Sus scrofa: one gene and its partner. Each later gene encodes a partner of the first gene's protein in a complex. Links are inferred from orthologs where the notes say so. Each region holds a gene or a part of one and is shown on either strand. Other genes may lie near its edges.

Region 1 (9,534 bases):
TTCCTGCTTTGTTTTATTAATTAGGCTATTTATAAAGATAATTACTATATTGACAGCCTCGCTCAGGAATCGGCAGCCTTTCCCCTTCCTCCCTCTCTCCTTCCTTCTTTCCTTCCTCCTCCCCCCCGCCCTTCCTTCTTTTGGAGTTCGGAGTTTTTTTCAGCATTGCAGACATTTTTTCATGCTTAAAAGTGTGACAGTTTTGCCTTTGAACCTAAACAAATGTTTGACCTTGCTTGAGAATTTTCGACTCACTGTCAAGGACTTCCTTGGTTAGGACAGCCACTGTATCCTCTTTTAAATCTTTCTTTTTTCCCTCTAGATCAACTAGTTTTTACTTTACCAGGAGGATCACCATCCCCAAATGTGGATCTTAGTAACGTATGCCAGTTTTTTTTTTTTTTTTTTTTTTTTTTTTTTTTTTTATCATTTCTGAACTGAAGCCAACTGAACCCATCTTGATAAGTCTGAGCAAGCATCAACATTCCTGGGGACGAATCATATTTCCTAAAAGACTCTGAAAAGCTGTTCTTTAGACTAGTTGGCCAAGACACCGTTTCTGAGAAGAGATGGGAAATTAAGTCAAGAGAAAAAGCCTGGAAATCCTGCATGGTTGAAACGTGGAAGGACGTGAGCTGGAGACAGTTGTGATTTGTGGGGAGCTTAGAGTGACCCCAGCTGGCTGAATCAGAATGGAGCGGAACAATGATGGGGCCTGAGGGCTTGCCAGTGGCCACCCCTGTGACGCCACGCGCACCGCACGGAGGGTCCAGGAACCATGGATCCAAGATGATGGTTCTTCCTCGAGGTTTGTGTGAAGGGCTGCCCGCTGGGGACTAGGAAGGGCCGGTGGAACGGAGCCACCAGGGAACCCGAGGCTCACTCTGGCTGTGGGCACAGGGCCGTCGCCCCTTCTCCTGATTTCCTAGCCAAGTAGATTCTGGTCGATTCTGGGAAGGGGGGAGGGGGCGGACCGAGGATGTCGCTGCCTCGGGAACGCGACCCTGGGCCCATCACGACACTCCGTGTTCGGCCTGCATGGATCTCAACCGGCAAGTCTCCCAACGCTACGGCCAGTCCCCATGACAACGGCCTCGCTTAGACCCCAGTGCCAGGCCCGCGGGTGGGCGGGAGGAGAGGCCTGTTCCAGGGCCGGGGGCCGGCCTGCCCGACCAGAGCCGACAGCTGAAGAGAAAAGGGCATCTTCAGATACAACACAGGGAAATGCGTAGCTCGATGTTTATAATGTGACTCCGGGTTCCACAGGCCTTCCTTTCCACCTGTGCGCCTCTCAGCTTTAAGCACGAGCATCCAAGGGGCAAACCGAGACTTCGCTTCCCTCAGAGCCGGATAGATAAGCAGCAGCTTTTCCCAGGACACTGCGAGGACAGGGGCCCTGCTGGCTGTTGGAGAAAAGCTGCCCGACACGGCGGGGGCAGCAGAAACGACCGCAAACCTGGTGAGAACCAGACAGCAGGTGAATGGGAAACGCTAGTCCCCGGGCGGGCGCATCTGTGCTGGTTGTATTTGAAAGTGGAACACACATCCCGGGCTCAGGAAACGGCCAGGAACCCACCAGAGGAGTCGAAACGGAAAAAGACAGCCTCACGGAGAAGCTGAAAGGAGGGGGTCTGGCCGGTGCTAGGGGAATGGAACGAGTCGGCCTCACAAGAAACAACGATTTATGCCTGTGTCGCACTTTGAAAAAGACATGCTAACAACACAGGCCAAGAACAGGAAAAAGAAAAGCCACGCTGGGTATATGGGACGGGACCAGCTCAAACCGTCACCCTAGACACGGAGGGCCTGGCCATAAAAGAACAGTCTGGCAACCGCTTTCCCTCCGGCTCTTGATCACAGTAACAGCTGGATACATCCGAATGGCAAGAAGTGAAAGGGCGAGCTCCGAGGTGAAAGGCAGGCCCGCCCGCGCGCCAGCGGGGTCTCATAGGCAAGTGGGGTGCGCCGCCTAGCGGGTCTGCCTTCCGTGTACACTCACAGCTCCTCCCCGGCGTGGGTGGCTCTGCGCTCTTCTCTTCCTCCAGGAGCATCGCTTCTGTCCCTCCAGAAACCGTTTCACCTCGGGCTCTGGGCCTCGGCGCCGTTGACAGTGGGGTTGGATGGCTCTCGGCTCTGGGGGCTGCCCAGAGTCCTGTCGCGAGGCTTCGCGGCATCCTGGTCTCCCCACCAGACGCCAGGAGCACCCCCTCCCCCAAGCGCGGCAACCAAAAGCATCTCCAGGCATTGCTGGATGTCCCCCGGGGAGGACCGTCGCCCCGACGTAAGAACCACGGGGCTAAAGGAACCAGGGAAGGCTATCGCCTCCCTCCTCGACCCCGCTCCCAAGCCCCGCTCCCCAGGGCCGGGAACCTCTCTGCGATTACCTCCTAATCCACCGACTCTCCTCTTGTTCTGAGTGGCCTTTGGTAACGCTTTTGACCTGCAGGGCTTCTCAGTCATCCAGCACAAGGATCCCACGGCCCTTGAAAAGAAAGTCCTTCCAGTTAAATTCGGGGAGGGGAGGAGGGGGGAAGCAGGTACATTTTCCTTTCGAAGCACTTGTCTGTTTTAGTCTGTGGAAGATTTCAGACATACAACTCTGCACATCCAGGGTCTCTGTGAACCGCAGGGGCCTTGGCTACCACCCCCTCTCTTTGCCTCATTTTACGAACGAAGAAAGAGGCCAGAAGGGGAGGGTCATCCGTATTTCTAATCATCCTTTTCCGAGGCCACAGGCCAGTACGAGTCTTCTTTGCCCGGTATGCCCAGTGTGCCTGGAGAACTTGGGTCTCCAAACAGGGGTTAACGGGCCAGGCTGTACAGGCGAGTTTGGGCCAAACCATGCCAGTTAAGGAAGGCAAATTTTAGAAATGATCGGATACTGCAACCAATTAGTGCAAACAAACATTTATTGTGAAATAGTCATCCTACCCTTTATTAGGTATTACATCATCAAAGCACTTGGTGGCAATGAAAATAGCTTTTTTACCCCTCTGATTCACCCAATATTCCATTAAAGCTGCAAAAAATGTGCAATCTGCTTGAAAAATAGGTTGCTCTTATTTACTCATTTGTGAAAAGTCAAAAATTAAAAAAGAAAATGATACTAGCTTACAGGGCCTCTACAGCCAATTCACATTCCCGCTCCCCAACTACTCCCCCAAATAATTAACAAAGATAATTTGTTTTAAATGCCTTTTTATAAAACCAATGCACCTTTCCCCATATTATAATCATAAAAATTTTAAAAAGCCACTATTTACTTCCTGGGAAAAAAGGTGGCGAGCCGTTGTTTTTTGATGGGGAGCATGTGTATTTCCTGGGAGTTCACTTTCTTTAACTTTATGCTCCGGTTTTTGATGGGTTTCCTAAGGGGCTCCGCGCTGCCCGCGGACTCTTCCGCTTGGCTGCTGATGTCGTAGCCCTGGAGCATGGCGTCTTCTCTCTTGAAGGAGAAGTTCTTGGTGGACACCCCCGAGAGGCCTTTGATCTTGCCACAGAAGATGGTGGGCACAGTGTCTTCCACGGAGACAATCACTTTGGCCGCCTGGGACTCGCTCCCGAGCTCAATGTTATTCTCAGCCTTGACCTCGCCGCTGGGCTGGCGAGGGGGCTCGGCAGCGTCACTGCCGCCCAGGTGCCTCTCCATTGCGGCGGCGGCGGCGGCCTCGTGGGGTGTGGCGGGGGCAAAGGGCACTTCCACACCACCACCGGGCGGTGTCTCCATCGCGGCGTGACCGGGGCCATCCACCGCCCCGCTGCTGTCACACAGTGTCTCCGGCGGTGGCGGGGGCTCCGATCGCCGGTGGGTTGCTAGCGACAGGTCGAGGGCCGCGTCTTCCTGGCAGGCGGGGGCACTGACGTCGCCAGCCTTGAGCCAGGGCACCGACTTCATGGAGAGATCCAGGGCCTCGTTCTCACTGCCCATCTTGATGACGGTGTGGCGGCTGAGCTGGAAGTACTCCCGCGGCTGCAGGAGCTCGAAGGGCTTCAGTTCCTCCTTCTGCACGGCGGGCGGGCCGCCCCTAAAGGGCTGGAGGCCGAAGGAGGACGGCGCCTTGGGGCAGCCGGGGCTGAACTTGGACTCGGAACTCTGAGGCACGGGGATGGGGATGGGGATGGGGACGGGCACCGGCAAGGGCACGATCACGGGGTAGGGCACCAAGAGGGTGGCCGGCGGAACCAGGGGCGACAGCGGGGCGTTAAAGGGCTGGGGGGGCACGGGGGCGTAGCCCGGAGGAGGCTGACAGGGTGGGGGGCCCAGAGCGCCCTGCGAGGGAAACAGATTCTGGAGCACGGCTTCGAAGGGCAGGCTGGGCTCCTGCGGCTGGCTGGGGATCCTCAGGTCCAGGAGCTGGGGCTGCGCCTCCGGGTCCTCGGCTCCCTGGAAGAGGTTGCTGTGGACGGCGCCGGAGGAGCACGGGGCCTCCTGGGGCAGGACCAGCGGCGAGTTGAGGTGCTGGAAGACGTGCTGCTCCAGCACCACCGGCAGCTGGACGGGGCCCTGCGTGGTCATGACGTAGGTGGCGTTGCCGTTGGGGTTGAGCTCGGGCGCCGAGCTGCCCTCCACTTGCATGTGAATGGGCATCACCACCGGGCTCTCCCCGAGGCACAGGGGCTGCAGCACGGTGGCCGCCACCTTCAGGGCCATGCCGCTCTGGGACTCGGCCGGCGGGTTCAGAATGGACGGCGCCGGCACGGTCACCAGGGCCTTCTTCACCAGGTCGGTGGAGTTGATGTTCCAGGCCTCGGTGGTGATCAGCTGGGCCATGCCATTCTCCAGGCGGTTGCTGGCCAAGGCGGGGGCCGAGTCGGTCATGTCCATGGACAGGTTCTGGGACTGCAGGTCATCCATCACTCGGCTCTGATGCCACTTGGCCTGCAACACAGAACACACAATCGGAATCGTCCCTCAGAGACCACGCACATCCACGGTTTAAGAGCTCTCTCGGTATCTCAGGGAGCCGGGGAGCACACCCGTCTCTCTGTGTACACGGGCACGCCACGGATCGTTCCCAACATACACGAACACACCCGTCTGATCAGCTGTGCGTGGACGGCCCCAATTTAACAGACGATTAAACGATAAGCACAGATGATGTAATGACTACATAGCCGAGTGAGGTTAAACAGAGTATCGCAAAACCCAGCACTCAGCTTGGAGGTTCAGCCTGGCACAAACACAGAGCGTGGCTCCCCGGTGCTGTGTCGGACCCTTAAGATAGGCGGAGACTAGACTGGTTCAAATCCAAAGCAGCAGCCAAGACGTGGTGTCCTTTAAGAAAAAAAGCAGAACCCTGTCACACTGGAATATTCTATGACCTTGGAAGGGGGCCATCCCAATTATGGAAACCATTTAAAAAACGCTTTGAAGCAGCAATAATTCTTCCAAAAGAGGCTTGAGGAGGGGAGCGGCGGTGTATTTACACAACGGTCATTACAGCTGTCACCCTTCGACCAATGACAGCTCCCTTTCCTCCAGTACGAGTGAGAGCCGCTCCAAGGAGCAAGGTGAGGAAGGGATGACTCCCATGAGTGCTCATCAGTCAAGTGTCACTTGCCCCAGGGAGCTCGTCTGTCTGACCCGTGACCTCTCCTAAGTTCTAGGTGTCCAGAAGAGGGGATGCTGATGGATCCAGGGCTGGGGAAATGGAACGCTGGTTGGAACCAAACATCCTCAAGGGTGAGCCATGCTTTCTTGATGTCTGGGGCACCTCTGGCCGCCTCCTGAGAGGCCAAGGGAGCCCAGCGCGGGTACTTCCTGGAGGAAGCAGGGCTGCAGCTGCAAGATGGCTCTCCATGGAAACGCGTCCATATTTAGCCTTGTTGCCATGGAGAAGGCAGGCACCATGTCTAACTCGGGGATCTGTGCCGCCCTGGCGTCTGGTGGGGCTCAATAATAATTCAATAATCCTCAGTCTTGCTGGGCGGGCCTCGGGCAACTCCAAGGCTTGACCTCACCTGTCTCAGGAGTCTAGAATTTCATCGGGTGGTCAACTCATCCTTCTCCTCTCACCCCGAAACTACCAACGCGACTTCCAAGACAAGAGAGGCGGCCCAGCACACCATGGGATTAGAAGTAAGTAAATGAGGCCTCACTATGGGAGGGCAGCTTTAACAGATGAACCACTCAGTGATGCTTCCAGACAATCAAAATATGTCACGTACACAGAACAAGGAGTTTCTCTGAAGCAGGAGGAAGCGGGGCGGGGTGGGGGGCAAGGTGCGCCGCAGCAATGAACCTGCGAGGTGGCCCAGCCTGCTGGCCAGCGATGCCCCTAGGGCAGCGTAGGGAGGAAGCCTGCCCCCAGGGAGCTGGAGGGGACTTGCCCCAGCTTGAAGGGCCTGTTTTTTCTGAGAGGAGTGCTCCCCGATTCAGCCCAGAAAATGCCATGCCTCCAACACACCACTTATCCGACCAATCCATCTGCTGAATGCCTACAGCACGCCAAGGCTCTGCTGAGGGCTGGGGATGCTGCCATGAGCGACACAGATGAGGCTCCGGTGTTCACGGGGATTCTAATCACGAGGGGGAGCGTGTCTTTGATCGGAAAGAGACCAGCCGGCATGCAGAAGCCTCAGAGCGAAGCCAGGAGAGAAGAAGCATCAGCCTTGGTGGGACAGAGCTATCGGCCACTCAGGAGCAGCCCTTCGAAGGCTCTGAGCTCCTAAGGGCTCCCACAGAAGGTCTGCCTTGTCCCTCTGAGTGGCCAGAACTCTTCAGGGCAGGTGACAAAAGGATGAAAGGAAGCTTGGGCAGGGCTCGTGCGGACAAGCACTGCAGCCGTCAGAGAAGGATCCCATGACCAGCCCTGTGAGGTGGCATCGGAGAGCCTCCAAGGCAGGTCAGCGGGGCAAGGACTGTTCCGTGCTTCCTGGGAGTCTGGGATGATCCAGCTGTGAGACTGCTTTCTCATGATGGGTTATACCTTCCAGATGTGCCCCCCGCCACTGCCAAGAGCAAGAAGGCACACTTCTCCACGCCTCTGCCACCTGCCCCGGCACCCACCTTCAGCTCAGGTGGCCGCTTGCATCTCTTCCTGTGCAACCGCACGCCTCTCCCTCCCTGGCCCTGGTTCTAGGGCTGCTAATCCTGCAGAACCTTCCTGCTCAGGGTGTGAGGAGCCAAAGTAACGGACCTCCCACGGGCCCCTGCTCCTCTCGCAGATGGAAGAAGCCAAAACTTGCAGAGCATGTGCCATGCGCCATGCCCTCTGCTGAGGACTTCCCACGCGTTACTTCCTTCGACGCTCAGAACGACCCTACAGGAGGGGTCCTATGATTGGGCCCATTTTATTGGTGAGAAAAGTGATCTCCCAGGAAGGATAGATACCTCACTCAAGGGTGCACTGAGGCTGCGATTAGACCTCAGGGTCAACCCCGGGTTCCTTCGTCTCTCGGGAGCTGGGAGGGCCACACCCCTCCATGCATTTTTGTCTCTTGGCGGAAGCGACCGGGCATCCTCCCTGTCAGTACGGAGCACATGCGACTGCAGAGCTGTGCGTGAGGAGGCAGGCGAACCTCAGAGTTCTTACGAGGGGCGGCCAGGCCCTTTCCAAAAGATCACTGAACTGTCTGCTCGTGCTCTTTCCTCCACCAGAGCCTTCCTCTGTCCCTCTTGCCATAGAGGAGCCGAAGGATCACCAGGGGTTCTGTCCTTGGGGAGCGCAGCCCCAAGCAGCCACGGTTCTGTTAGCGGAGGCCTAGGAGGCCTCCGTCCACCCAGCCTACCACCAGCTACCCGCCACCCCACCCGCCTTCCCGAGACAGATGTCACGTGGGAGGGAGGGCACGTCCAGTCCCGCGGGTTCCAGGGAGGCCATCTGACCCCCTGCTGGGAACACTAGCCTCTGGGAACTGCTGGGGCCAGCTGGGATGCAGGCAAGGCTGGGATGCAGGCAAGGCTGGGATGCAGGCAAGACTGGGATGCGGGTGGGTCTGAGCAGCTATGGCCTCTCAGGGGCCTGGGGCCAAAGTCTCACTCCTGCCTCCTCCCACATGACAGCCTTGGACCAACCGGCTGACTCAGCCCAAGTAGGCCGCTGGCTGGCTGAATGGAGGCTTGGTTCCCCCACCGTGTTCAGAAGCCCTGCCCCCCCTCAGGTGACCTGCGGGGCCCAGGGCTACCTGGCCTGTACCCTCTTGCCTTCCACGGGGGGCTCTGCCCCTCTCTCTGCTCCTCCCCAACTCTGGGTCAGCAGCTGGGGGGCCTGAGCGGGTGTCCCCGCTGCAGGCGCTAATGCTGGAAGCCGCAGTGATGCCCTGAGGAGAACAAGCAGCTCAGCAAGGGAGTGTTCAGAGAGCGAGTTTCCGTCCCCTCGGAAGCCAGATAATGACCGGAGAGAAGATGGAGGCCTGTCCCCTAGTGATGGACGCGGGGGAGGTGCGCGCAGGGGGCCTCTTCAGATCAAGGAGTGTCCCGGGAGCGACCAACTAATGCTCAAGCAGAGGGGGCCGTTTCTTCAGATGTCGCTGTGAACCTTCTGTGTGGGTGTTTCAACCCCTTGTTTGCCCGTGGATTTAAAAGAGGTCAGCCGTCCATTCTGCCTGCACCCATGATCCTGGGGGCACAGGGTGGGCTCAGAACCCAGGGGCGGGGGCAACCTGCGCCTGCAGCTTGCTGGAGACTGGCGCTCTTTGGATCCTTGGCCAGTGGCTGGGGCCGAAGGGCTGGGGGCTGAGGGCCCGCCCAGTGCAGCCTCTGCGACCCCAGAGAGGAGGTGGGGAGCTGTCTGCGGCAGGAGGTGGGCTCGGAGACCTGGGCGGGTCGCAGAACTGTGACCGACCTGCACCGCTTGTCTGACTCTCAGGAGATCTTCGTACAGCAGAGGCGGGCTGTCTTAGGATCGGCCCCTCGGCCTGGAGCCCTCTGGGGCCTTGACCTTCGCCCAGCCAAGTCCTGCTCACCTGTCAGATTCCCCCGTACGCCGCTGAGCTCCCACAGGACCCGACCTACCCCTGTCCACCCGGCCCCTCGCCCTCCCCCCTGCCTGTCTGTCCAGGAGCGAGGGCCTGCCTCACCACCTCACCTTCGCATCCGCTCAGCAGGTGCTTCGCGGGTGCTCGGCAGGTGCTCTCAGAGGCAAGGACCGCATGAAGGAGGATGCAGGCCTTCTCCGGGCCAGCCTCTTGCCACACCTACAGAACCCTGGTGGTCAAGGCCGGCGGGGGCCTTAAAGCCAACACCGCTCTCCTCCTCCTGGCCCCTTTTACAGATGGAGAAATCGAGACCCAGAACGCCTGGCTGAAACCTCTGAGGCCAGTTACCACGGAAGCCACGGCACGATGCTGCGGAAAGCGCCGAGGTCGAGCCCAAGGGCGCCGGGACGGGAACACGGCAGCCAGAGCCCGTGCACGCCGGCAGGACCCCGACCACGACGCAGGAGGTGCCCTGGCACTTTGTGCACAATCGCGAGGCTCACAGCGGCGACCTGTGAGTGACTTCGTCTCGGATCCCTGGGCTTCTCCGACACACCCAGAAAAAGGAAAGCAAAGCGAAGCAGCGTGTGTGTGCGCCGTTTCCCTTAAAAGGAG
Region 2 (10,244 bases), on another chromosome or scaffold:
GCACAAGCAGGGGGGCCATTTCTCCCTGTGGCCTCAACCACAGGACCCGTGATGTTTGGGAACCTGCTGACTGTGCGGCTGTGGGGAAGTGGTGCCCTCCTAGCGGCTGGGAGTGTCGACTGGCCCGTTGGGGACCATGTCCCCAGATGACACAGGCGCGTATCTTGGACTAACTCTTCCGCCCTGCGGATCTGTTCGCTGGGGACACGGACCCACAGGACAAGCGCAGGCGGAGGGGCTGGGTAAGCCAAGGGTGACTCATCTGCAGGTGGAGTCACGCAGCCATTACCAAGGTCACTGGCAAGGCCGATGCGCAGGGCTGCGCCCTGGGGAGGGCTGGGAGGGACCCAGAATGCGACGGCCCCAGGCTCTCAGGCTGGGCAGTGCGCCCTCACCTCTGCCTCTCTTGGCCTCTCGGAGGCCGTCCCCAGCCATCTTTTATCCTGTGAGGGAGCCCTCGAGCTGCTGTTGGAGGTGGCCTGGGGGCAGCAGGAGACTCTGGGACAGGGATGTACTGGCGCTTGGGCCTCGGTGCTTCAGGTCTGAGCAGAGGGTCGGGGACACTGCCTGGGGTGGCACGTCCCCACCAGGGCTGCTGGGCTCCGTGCCGTGACCCAGGCTGGCCTGGACACCATGGGCCAGGGGAGAGGCCCGTGGGGCAGCCAGGGGGGTGCTACGGGGACAGGGGGGCGGGTGCTGGTCCCGGGGAGCGGGAGGCGGGTCCCTGGTGGGGGGGGAGCTCCCGGGAGCTGGGCGCCGGCCCAGAGGACCAGATGGTTTTCTTCACAGGGGCAGGAGTCCGGAAGAGCCTTGCAGCTGGCCTCATCTCCGTGCTTCTCCCTGATGTTGTTTTTTGCTGGAAAATCCAGCCTGCAAAGCCAGCTGGGCGCCGGCCCGGAGCAGCTGGGGCCAAGCGGCCGGTGCTCTGGCAGATGCAGGCTTGATGCCTCTTCCTGCCTCCTCCGGGCCCAAAGCTGGTGGGGGCAGCAGCGAAGGGGCCTGGCCAGTGGATACCCGAGGCCGCAAGGAGAGCGCCCGCCTCCCTGCTCAGGCCACCCCAGGAGAAAAGTCCCCAAACTCCCGCAGAGCCCAGCACATCCGCAGATCCTGGCGACGGGCGTCCACTGCCGTCCCCATGGCCCTGAGCCCCTGACCAAGGACCACGGCAGCGGCAGACTTGATGCGGGTGGGAGCAGCAGGGGGTGTGCCGTCCTCCCGACCCAGCCCCTCCTGGGATGGAGCCCACGGGGCCACGTGGGGCCACGCAATTTCTCCTTCGTGGTCTATGCCTCGGCAGTCCTGCGGGTTAACCAGCCCTTGCGCCCCCACCGCCACCCCGAGGCGCGCCCTCCACAAAGGGGCCAGTCCTTTCCCCTCGGCTCCGGCCGCCCCGCTCCGTTGCGCGGTTGCAGGCAGGCGCGCACGCACACCCAGCCAGCTGTCCTCGGTGTCTCTTCCCTGGGGTGCCCGCCTCTGTCCCTGGGCTCCGTCCGATTTTCCTCGTGCCTGGGTTTCACAGCCCCCAACTCACAGACCTCCCCCCTTCGTCCACATTCACTGGGAGAGAAGAACTTGCTGACACAAGAGCTGCAGTTTTGACGGGGTCAGAGCATGTGCGCTTCCCGTGTTACCCCTCCCCCAGCCGCCAGCACCGACGGGTGGTTGTCCCGCCGGCGCCTTGCTGACTCCCAGGCTGCTGGAGTCGCGCGGTGGCCACTCCGGGTCTTCAGAAAACAAGCAAAGTGGGGGAGGGCTCTGCCGTGTGCACGGCCTTCCACGTCCCGGGGTGACCTCGAGCTGCCCCTGCGAACAGCCCCATCCTCCCCTCCTACCTGCTTCGTGTGCTTCGCGGGTCCAGTGGCGCTTTCTGTGCAGGTGCCGCTGGCACACGTGGGCGGCTTCTCGCTGCCCTCCCACTATTCCTGCCTCTTCCCCCTGCTCCCACCTCGTCCTGGGCATCTGGTGGAGGACAAAACAGACCACACGCCGCCCTCCTGAAGCTCACGCTTCTGCAAAGGCAGTTAGGTGAAAAAAGGCTCGCGTTCGACTGTAAACAGGGCTTCAGCTCTGAAGCATAAAGAGGTCAGCAGCGGTGAGTCCTGTCCTGAGGATGGAAAAATCGACAGGGTTCCTGGATCCACCCCAGAGCCGAAGTCGCAGGGCAAATGGCCACCCTGAAATCTGGGGAAAGAGGCACGGGGGCTGAGACAGGGAGGACGCCTCTGCCGGGGACAGTGGGGACCTGCGGGGGGCTGGGCAGGCGGGAGAGAGAGAGACTGGGGGACAGAAAGCCTCTCCATCCCCCAGGGGCCCGGCCCCCACCCAACCCACGCCCGGGGCCCCGTGCGTCACCTCGACTGGCTGTGCAGGTCACGCCCCGGGCGCGGCTCAAGATGAGTCTGGACTGTCTTTTTCTTTCTGGAATTTTTAATCAGAGTCAATGCCATGTCCCAAAATGACTGGAGGAGGCGGTCAGTGGGACATCAGAGGTGTTTCTTCTTTAAATGTTTGTTAGGATTGACCACTGAAGCCATTTGTAATCTCTGAGGAAGTGTTTTTGTTTTTTTTCAGGTTCCACTTTTTCTTTCTCGGCTGCGCCGGTGGCACGTGGAAATTCCTGGGCAGGGATCAAACCCGCCCCACGGTTGTGACCCGAGCTGCTGCGGTGACAGTGCTGGGTTCTTAACGGCTGCGCCATGAGGGAACACCTTAAGTTCGATTTCTTTTCTTTTCTTTCTTTCTTTCTTTTTTTTTTTTTCTGCTTTTTAGGGCCGCACATGTGGCATATGGAGGTTCCCAGGCTAGGGGTCCAATCGCCACAGCCACAGCAACGTGGGATCCGAGCCACATTTGCCACCAACACCACAGCTCCTGGCAACGCTGGATCCTTAACCCACAGAGCGAGGCCAGGGACCGAACCTGCACCTCATGGTTCCTCGTCCGGTTCGTTAATGCTGAGCCACGACGGGAACCCCTTGAGTTCAATCTCCTAAAGTTATAGAGCCCTTCAGATCCCTTACTTGGTTTTAGCTCAAGTGTGGTTTCCACCCCTTCTAAACTTTCTCCGGACAGTTGGGCCCCCGCCCCGCGTCATTCCCCTGACCTCGGGAACGGGTCGCCCTCCTTCTCACTTCGGACCCTCACTGCACTTGTCTTATTTATTTTACTACCTACTAAAGCGCTGTTGAACTTGACACTCTCTACGGTGCCTTCTAGGACCCATTCCAGGTTGACGCCTATTATTTATTCACACCCGTAGTTCACAGCCTGATCCTGTCCCTCTTCTTCCGGCTGCTTTTGCAACACGGACGCGTGTGTCTGGATCTCGGCTTCTGTTCTCTCCTGAAGCGGGTACCGAAGCTCTCAGCCTCTCCATTACCAGCTCCCAGCTTGTCATGCCGTCTTTTCCCTGCTGTTGACGACTCCCTGGAGGCCAGCGGGTCTCTGCAGAATTAACTCTCCCTGCACCCCAGGGATGACGGAGGGCAGAGCCGTGCCCTCCCAGCGGAAAGGACCACAGACGCAGGGCCGAGGTGCAGAGCAGAGCCCGGGGACAGGCGGCGTGCCACGAGGGGAGCTCACCCGTCAGGGCGTGGCCGGACCGAGGGTGCCCTCCAGAACCTTCCCACCGGCAGGGGTCTGTAGACGGCCGCTTGGCAGGACCACCAAGGACGCGGCCCTGGTGCAGGATCCGAGGGCAGTGGAGGCGGAGGACCAGCTGCAGCCGTGCTGGTGGCGGAGGGGACACGCGGGGGACGGGGTAGCCCCTGAGGACGGGAGGTGGTGCGAGGAGGACCAGCTGGTGCAGCCGGAGCGTCGGGACAGGCGTCCCGCGAGCTGCAGAGCCAGCGGCCTCTGCCGCCCTGGGGCGGGGGGTGGGGTGTGGGGGGGTCCCAGGTCCCAGGCTGCCCGAGGGCGCACCGCCTGCGTCTTCTGCAGCAGCAGGGTCACAGCCCCCCGGGCTCCCCACTGCAGGCCCAGGGCCACCACAGACGGGACGGAGACCCACCAGGGACCCGGGAAACAAAGCCGTGAACACAGACGCTGGGCGTGCCGGCTCTTTCTGGGATTTTTATTTCTTTAAAATAATTCATACAAATGGTTACAGTCACAAACATGATTTTAACCAAAATATTGCTAGCCTACCACATCAGCAGGACGGCTCCGCTCGGCGGGCGCGGGGCCCTGGCCCCCGGGGCAGAGGCGCACGCTCTGCCCGCCTGGCGGCGCCGCCTTCGTTTGGAACAAGGGGGTTCATGCCAAAATTAGGAAAGACAGCCTGGGTGTTGCTTTTCTAAATTATCCTAAAAATAAGACAAGCAGGTAGAAAAAACAATGCACTGTGTGGCGTAAAAAGAAAACCGGAGGGATTCATTGTCCTGAGAAGTTTGCCAACTGCCTGGTCCGGGGCGCGCGGCACTCACGGGGCGGCCTGGGCGGACGCCGGCGCTCCCGCGGGCGTCTCTGCCGACAGCTAAGCAAACAAATCCTTGTAATGTTCTAGAGACTGTGCACAGACGGGAACATTCATGACGGAATTAACTACGAACTGCTTTTGCTTAACAAGGACGCGAAGGACACAGGGCAGCGGCTGGCCCTCGGGACGGGACAACTACAGTGACGCGAGGAGGCCGGCGCCACCTCTCACCACCTGGAGCCCGGGCCATCTCTGGAGGCCGCGGCCGCCCGTCGGCGCTGCCCCTGCACACGCCTGTCCGAGGGCGCGGCCCCTTCGGCGCTTGCGGCGGCGGCGAGGCTTCGGAGCTCTGCCCGGGTTACAACTGGTCGCTTGCGTGGTCTCTATCCGCCTCGGGCTTGACGGTTTGGCCTGGAGAAGGCGCGTGGGGCGGGTGGGATACAGGGGGCAGGCCGTGGGACAGGGACATGGCGCTGGGGACAATGCCTTCGACTGCGGCTGGGATGCCACTGGGGGCCACGCCTACCACGCCCGGGGGTACCTGCTGGGAGAGGAAGGGCCGCAGGTGAGGCCGGGGGCAGGGACCCTGGGCTGTGGGCCCAGCGGAGACGGCGGCAGAGGCAGGTGGCGGCCTTGAAGGCACCCCCGCCCTGCCCCCTCCACGCCCCCCGGGGAACGCCCCCCAGGGAGCTGGTCTTGTGGCCACCAGGCCCCGAAGGCTGCCCCCACGCGTGTCACCCCAACCGTCCAAGTCCAGGCCCCCGCCCACCGGGGGCTCACCTGTAGGCGGCCCCGTTGAGCTCGGGGTGCACCACGGCTGGGTCCACGCTGGCCCAGTGGGTGGCTGCTGCCAGGTGGTCCTTGTTCACACAGTTCTTCAGGCTGTCAGGGATCCGGCCTGGAGACGGCACAGACAGGGACAGTGCCCACGTCAGCTGCCCCCAGGGGGACCCCAGGAGCGTGGGGGCTCGTCGGTGGCATGGGCCACCCCCCTAGGAGCCACAGGGGCCCCGAGGAGCACTCCCGAGGCACTTTGGGATCCTGCCTGTCTGGGCAGCGTCACCCTTGTGGCCCGGGGCCCCTCAGCTCATCAGGGTCTCCGAGCCCATCTGACGGGCCCGGGCATCTCCCGGAGAAGCTGGCAGGGCCCAGCCCAAGAGGTTCACAAGCACAAACCGCTTTTTAAAAGGCGGAGAAAAGATACACGTGCAGAAAGCCCTGTGGGACAGTGAGTGTCACGAGCGTGACACCAGCACCTGGGGCTGTGCGTGTGCAGGGGTCCCCCATGGGGGCTGGTCTCTGCGCAGTGTCCCCGCCAGCGGAAGATGGAGGCGGCCCCCACGAGGGCCTCGGGCCCACCCGCCGCCGGCCGCCGCCCACCTGTGATGGCTCTCCGGATCTCGCGGGCCGCCTCCTCCCGCATCTCGATGGAGGCCTGCTCGCTGTACCAGGCTGCGTGCGGGGTGCAGATCAGGTTGGGAGCGTCCTTCAGGGGGCCCTGGCTAAAGCTACACAGCACGGGGCAGTCAGAGCGCCCAGGCGGGCAGAGGGTGCCCACCCCGCCCAGAGCTGGAGCTACCCTCCGTCTCCCCGGCCCCCATCAGGCGCAGGGACGCGAGCATCCTGGCCCCGCAGCCCCCGAGACTCGGCCGGGCCCTGGGAGGAAGGTCTGCCTGCCACGGGACCTCAGGCTGGGGGCGAGGCCTGAGTCCTCCCGGGCCCTCGGACCCTCGGCGGCCTGAGGCCAGGACTGGAGACCGTGCATGGGCAGTGGGGCCACCCCCCGCCCCCCCCGGCGCCGAGCAGCTCTGTGGCCAGCGTGGGGTGCGAGCCGGGGCAGGGGGGATCTCGGCGACGCCAGGGCGTCACGGGAAGCACCTGAAGGGCTCCGACTCGTGCACGTCCAGGGCCGCGCCGCGGATCCGCCCCTCCTTCAGCGCCTGGGCCAGCGCCTTCTCGTCCACCAGGCCGCCCCGGGCCGTGTTCACCAGGAAGGCCCCTTGTCTCATCTGGAAGACAGAGACCGTGTGACCTGAGGACCCTCCCCAGACCCAACTTCACCCCCAGACCAGCTGCTGCAGGGCTCGGCTGCTGCCCCTCGGTTCAGGTGGCTCTTCTCGTCCCTGTGGGCTCCCGCCCGTCCTGGCCTCACGCCACGGTCCCCGCTGCTGTCCCCCCAAGGCCCCAGCGGCTGCCTGGCCCTAGTCACTAGCCCCACTGTCCACGGGCAGACAGCACACACACCCGTCCCCACACACACACGTGCCCACAAGTGTCCGTAAGCACACCTGCACCAGGCAAGACCCCAGCACACGCCAACATCTGCACAACCTACACGCACAGAACGGCCGGCGCGTGAACAGTGTACACGCGCGGCCACACGCGCGCTCACACGTAAACACAGGACATGTGCACACACACGTGGGTGGGAGTCGTCACCCAAACTTCTCCACCGCACGCGGGTGCGCTGTGCCTGCAAACACGCGCTGTGCATACAGCCACCTGGAAGGCCCGGGGCCATCGGGTCAGGGAAGGAGGCCCCAGGATTCGGGGGGCCCGGTGGGGGCGGTGGCACCAGCAGACCGGCCACCAGAAGCCCGTCTGCCCCTGACCTCGTGCGCCCAGGCTGCACCCTCGCCCCGTGGCCGCCGCCCCGAGACCTGCTTGACGGTGAAGTCGTTGATGAGGTGGTGGTTGTGCTCGTTGAGGCCGCAGTGCAGGGTCACGCAGTCGCTGTGGAAGAGCAGGTCCTGCAGGGTGCTGACCCGCTGCAGCCCCAGCGCCCGCTCCGTGCCGTCCGCCAGGTAGGGGTCGTAGAAGAGCACGTTGAAGCCGAAGGCCTTGGCCCGCAGCGCCACCGCCTGCCCCACGCGACCTGGGGGGACAGGGTGTCACCGCAGCCCCGCCTCGGCTGTCCCGGCTCCCCAGGGCAGGGGCTCCACTCCCAGATGCAGAGGGCCACCGAGGCGGGCCAGGGGCTGCAGGCTCAGGACCGGCCCCGCGCCCTGGAGCCCGGGCCCCTGACCTCAGCTGCTGAGAAGGACACAGGGGCTCAGGGTCCCTCCTCCAGAAGGGACTCTGCCCTGGTGACCACGGGCTGCCACAGTGGAGGCAAAGCAGGGGACCTGGGCAGGCCAGGAGCCGGGAGGGGTGCCACGCCAGGGCTCTGCTCCTGGAGGACGCGCTGCCTCTCGGGCCACAGCAGCCCTCAGGGGACCGCTCTGCTCTGGGCAGCAGGGCACCTGGAAGCAGGCACTGGGCGTCCTGGGAGGGGTGGGGCGCGGGCCGGAGCAGAGGCTGGGGCTGCGGTGCCCAGCGCTAGTTTAGCACGGCCTCCGGGACCTCCCACTCGGCTGGCTGGTCACCTTTACTTTTCATTTTTTCTCTCTTTATGGCCACGCCCACAGGAGTGACCCAAGATGCTGCCGTGACAACGCTGGATTCTGAACCTGCTGCCCACGAGGGAACTCCTGCGGCTGGTCACCTTTGGACCGGGCACCGAGACCCCTGAGCAACACCGCCTGGGGGTGATGTGGCCCAAAGCCATTTGTCCAGGCAAACCGTCCCCCAACATGCCACGTGGGCCGGGCTGTCCCTGCTCTCACACCTCACAGGGCTTGGAGGTGGCAGGGCTGTGGGGCTCGTACCAGCCCCAGCGTCCGCGTGCGCACGCCTGGTGCATCAGGGAGCAGCGCTGGGGAGCGACACCGCGGCCCACAGGCAGCCAGGGCCCTGACCCCTGCACCAGCGCAGGCGCCTCTGCCCCCCACGCTCCCCTTGGCCACGGAAGGCGGTGCCGCGGTGGAGGGCCGGAGCCTGTGGGAAACCAGGAGGATGGGTGCCCGGGATCTGCGGGGAGGTGGCACAGAAGAGGGTGGACGGTGCCACGTGACCTCAAGCGCAGGCGCTCCTGCCCCTCAGGCCGCAGGCCCCTCCCTCCACACTGGCCCTCACCACCCGGCACCTCTGCCCCCAGCACGTCCCCACCCCCCGGTGTGCTGCCTGGCAGGAGGCCTGGGCTGGCCCAGGGCCGGGCCGGTGCCCCTTCAACATCTGTGTGCACGTGGCCACGCCTGCGCTTCCAGGTCAGACCTGCCCGCCCGCGCTGCCCCATCTGGGAACCATCTGGGGCGGGGGCACTTGGCCGCACAGCTGAGCCCCGGCCTCTGCCACAGGGGAGCCACACACGGGGCGTGAGGGGCGGGGGGGCGCACCTAATCCGATGATGCCCAAGGTCTCCCCGCGGATCCTGGCGGCCCCGGAAGCCACTTCTCGGATCTGCTCGACGCTCTGGACCCGCGTGCCCTCCCGCAGCGCCTGGTGCAGCCACGTGGTCCTGCGGTACAGGTTGAGGATGTGGCACATGGTCGAGTCAGCGGTCTCCTCCACGGACGCGGCTGGCACATTGCACACCGCGATGCCTGGGGACACGAGACACACGGGGGCGTCACTGGAGGCCACGTCCCCGGCAAGCCCCTGTCCGCACCGCCTGGGGTCCCGCGGGCGGACAGGCTGGGGAACAGGAGGCGGGACCGCACACGTCGCCATGGCAGCGGGGCCACCCTGAGGGAGGCTCTAGGCCCCCGGCAGCGCCCGGCATGTCCTCGCCCGCCAAGGCCGTGACTGGACCAGAACGTCATGGAGACGGAGCCGGAGACGGGACCGAGCGCGCCCCAGGCACGAAGACACTCGCGTGTGTCCCGGGTTACAACGTACCTCCTTTGCCCGACCCGACCCCCGTCTCCTCCGCCCCAGGGAGGTGGGCTGTGCAGACGGGGTGCACCACCCACACAGCTCGGCCTGAGGGATACCAGTGCCACCCGACGGGGCTGGCGTGGGGCCTGCGGCCCGCCTCCAACCAGGCAGGCTGCAGCCGGATCCGCCTCCTCCCGGTAAAACGGACGGACAAGACAGAAGGTGACGTGGTCTCGGTGAGGACAGAGCCTAAGGCTGCAGAGACCAGGGTCCGGGGCCGTCCTACCCAAGTCCCCGGCTGACTTGATGTCGATGTTGTCGAAGCCGCTGCCGATTCGGACGATGATGCGAAGGGCCTTGAACTTCTCCAGGTCCTCCCGGGTCAGGGTGATGGTGTGATACATGAGCGCGCCCACGGCCTCGTTCAGCACCTGCACAGGGACAGTGCGCTGAGCCGAGGCCGCCAGGGAGTCCGGCCGGGCCTGCGGGCGCTGCAGGCCCCCCGGGAGAGGCCGCCCAGAGCCCCCTCGAGAGGCCCGTGGGGCCCGCAGGGACGGCCCTGACTCGGCACAGGCTTCTCAAGGACACAGAGGGTCCATCGGCACAGGCAGCGCTCGGCACGCTGCCCTCTCCTCGGCCACCGGACTCCAGGCCAGAGCGGGTGGGAGCGGGGAGCACGGGGGCCCCAGGCAGCAAGACCACAGACCTGAAAGGCGGGCAGCACCTCGAGAGCTGCTTCCGGAAGGAGGCAGCCACGAGGCCGCAAGGCCACTTTGAGCTGCCCAGTCCCCATGCAGCGAACACCCCAGTGGGCGTGGCGCCCCTTTCCTTGTGTGGGGTGGGCAGTGTGGCCTTGTGGTGACCGTGCAGGAAGCCTGGCCTCCAGACGGCGCGGGGCGGCCCAGGGCGGTAGGTCACTCCTCTGGGAGGAGTGAGGAGCTGCCACGGCCCCTGCGCACCACCCACCGCGCCACGGACCTGGGGGGTCGCCTCCCTGAGAGGAGGGTTCCCGAGTGGGGCTGGGCTCTGTGCACCCAGGCCCAAGAGGCAGACCTTGCCAGCTGTGACCCCAGTGAGGCCCGGCTGCCTCTGTGTCCCTCGAGCACGGCCGGGGCTCCAGGCCTGAGGGAAT

Evidence for each region. Proteins that work in one complex are often made in the same cells at the same time.
Region 2: the proteins of RAI2 (region 1) and CTBP1 are in contact, whole or in part, in a cryo-EM structure (PDB 8ARI), measured with the Homo sapiens proteins. The link is inferred for Sus scrofa from reciprocal best matches to the Homo sapiens genes RAI2 and CTBP1. Residues at the interface, in NP_001166210.2 of Homo sapiens: Glu315, Ala316, Leu317, Asp318, Leu319, Ser320, Met321, Lys322, Trp326; in NP_001319.1 of Homo sapiens: Arg36, Cys38, Met42, Val51, Ala52, Phe53, Cys54, Asp55, Gln57, Gln60, Glu61, His63, Val66.

The regions. Positions count from the first base shown.
Region 1 is NC_010461.5:14,243,885-14,253,418, forward strand, and holds the end of RAI2 (retinoic acid-induced protein 2), read right to left. Parts: intron 4,880-9,534; coding exon 3,260-4,879; 3' UTR 2,892-3,259; downstream 1-2,891.
Region 2 is NC_010450.4:471,113-481,356, forward strand, and holds the end of CTBP1 (C-terminal-binding protein 1), read right to left. Parts: intron 9,544-10,244; coding exon 9,399-9,543; intron 8,839-9,398; coding exon 8,632-8,838; intron 7,293-8,631; coding exon 7,078-7,292; intron 6,427-7,077; coding exon 6,296-6,426; intron 5,926-6,295; coding exon 5,798-5,925; exon of another isoform or gene 5,316-5,797; coding exon 5,198-5,315; intron 5,004-5,197; coding exon 5,003-5,003; intron 4,962-5,002; coding exon of another isoform or gene 4,959-4,961; coding exon 4,776-4,958; 3' UTR 4,058-4,775; downstream 1-4,057. Other genes in the region: uncharacterized protein LOC110262036, read left to right, coding at 310-540, 790-1,599. UniProt on the Homo sapiens protein: Corepressor targeting diverse transcription regulators such as GLIS2 or BCL6. Has dehydrogenase activity. Involved in controlling the equilibrium between tubular and stacked structures in the Golgi complex.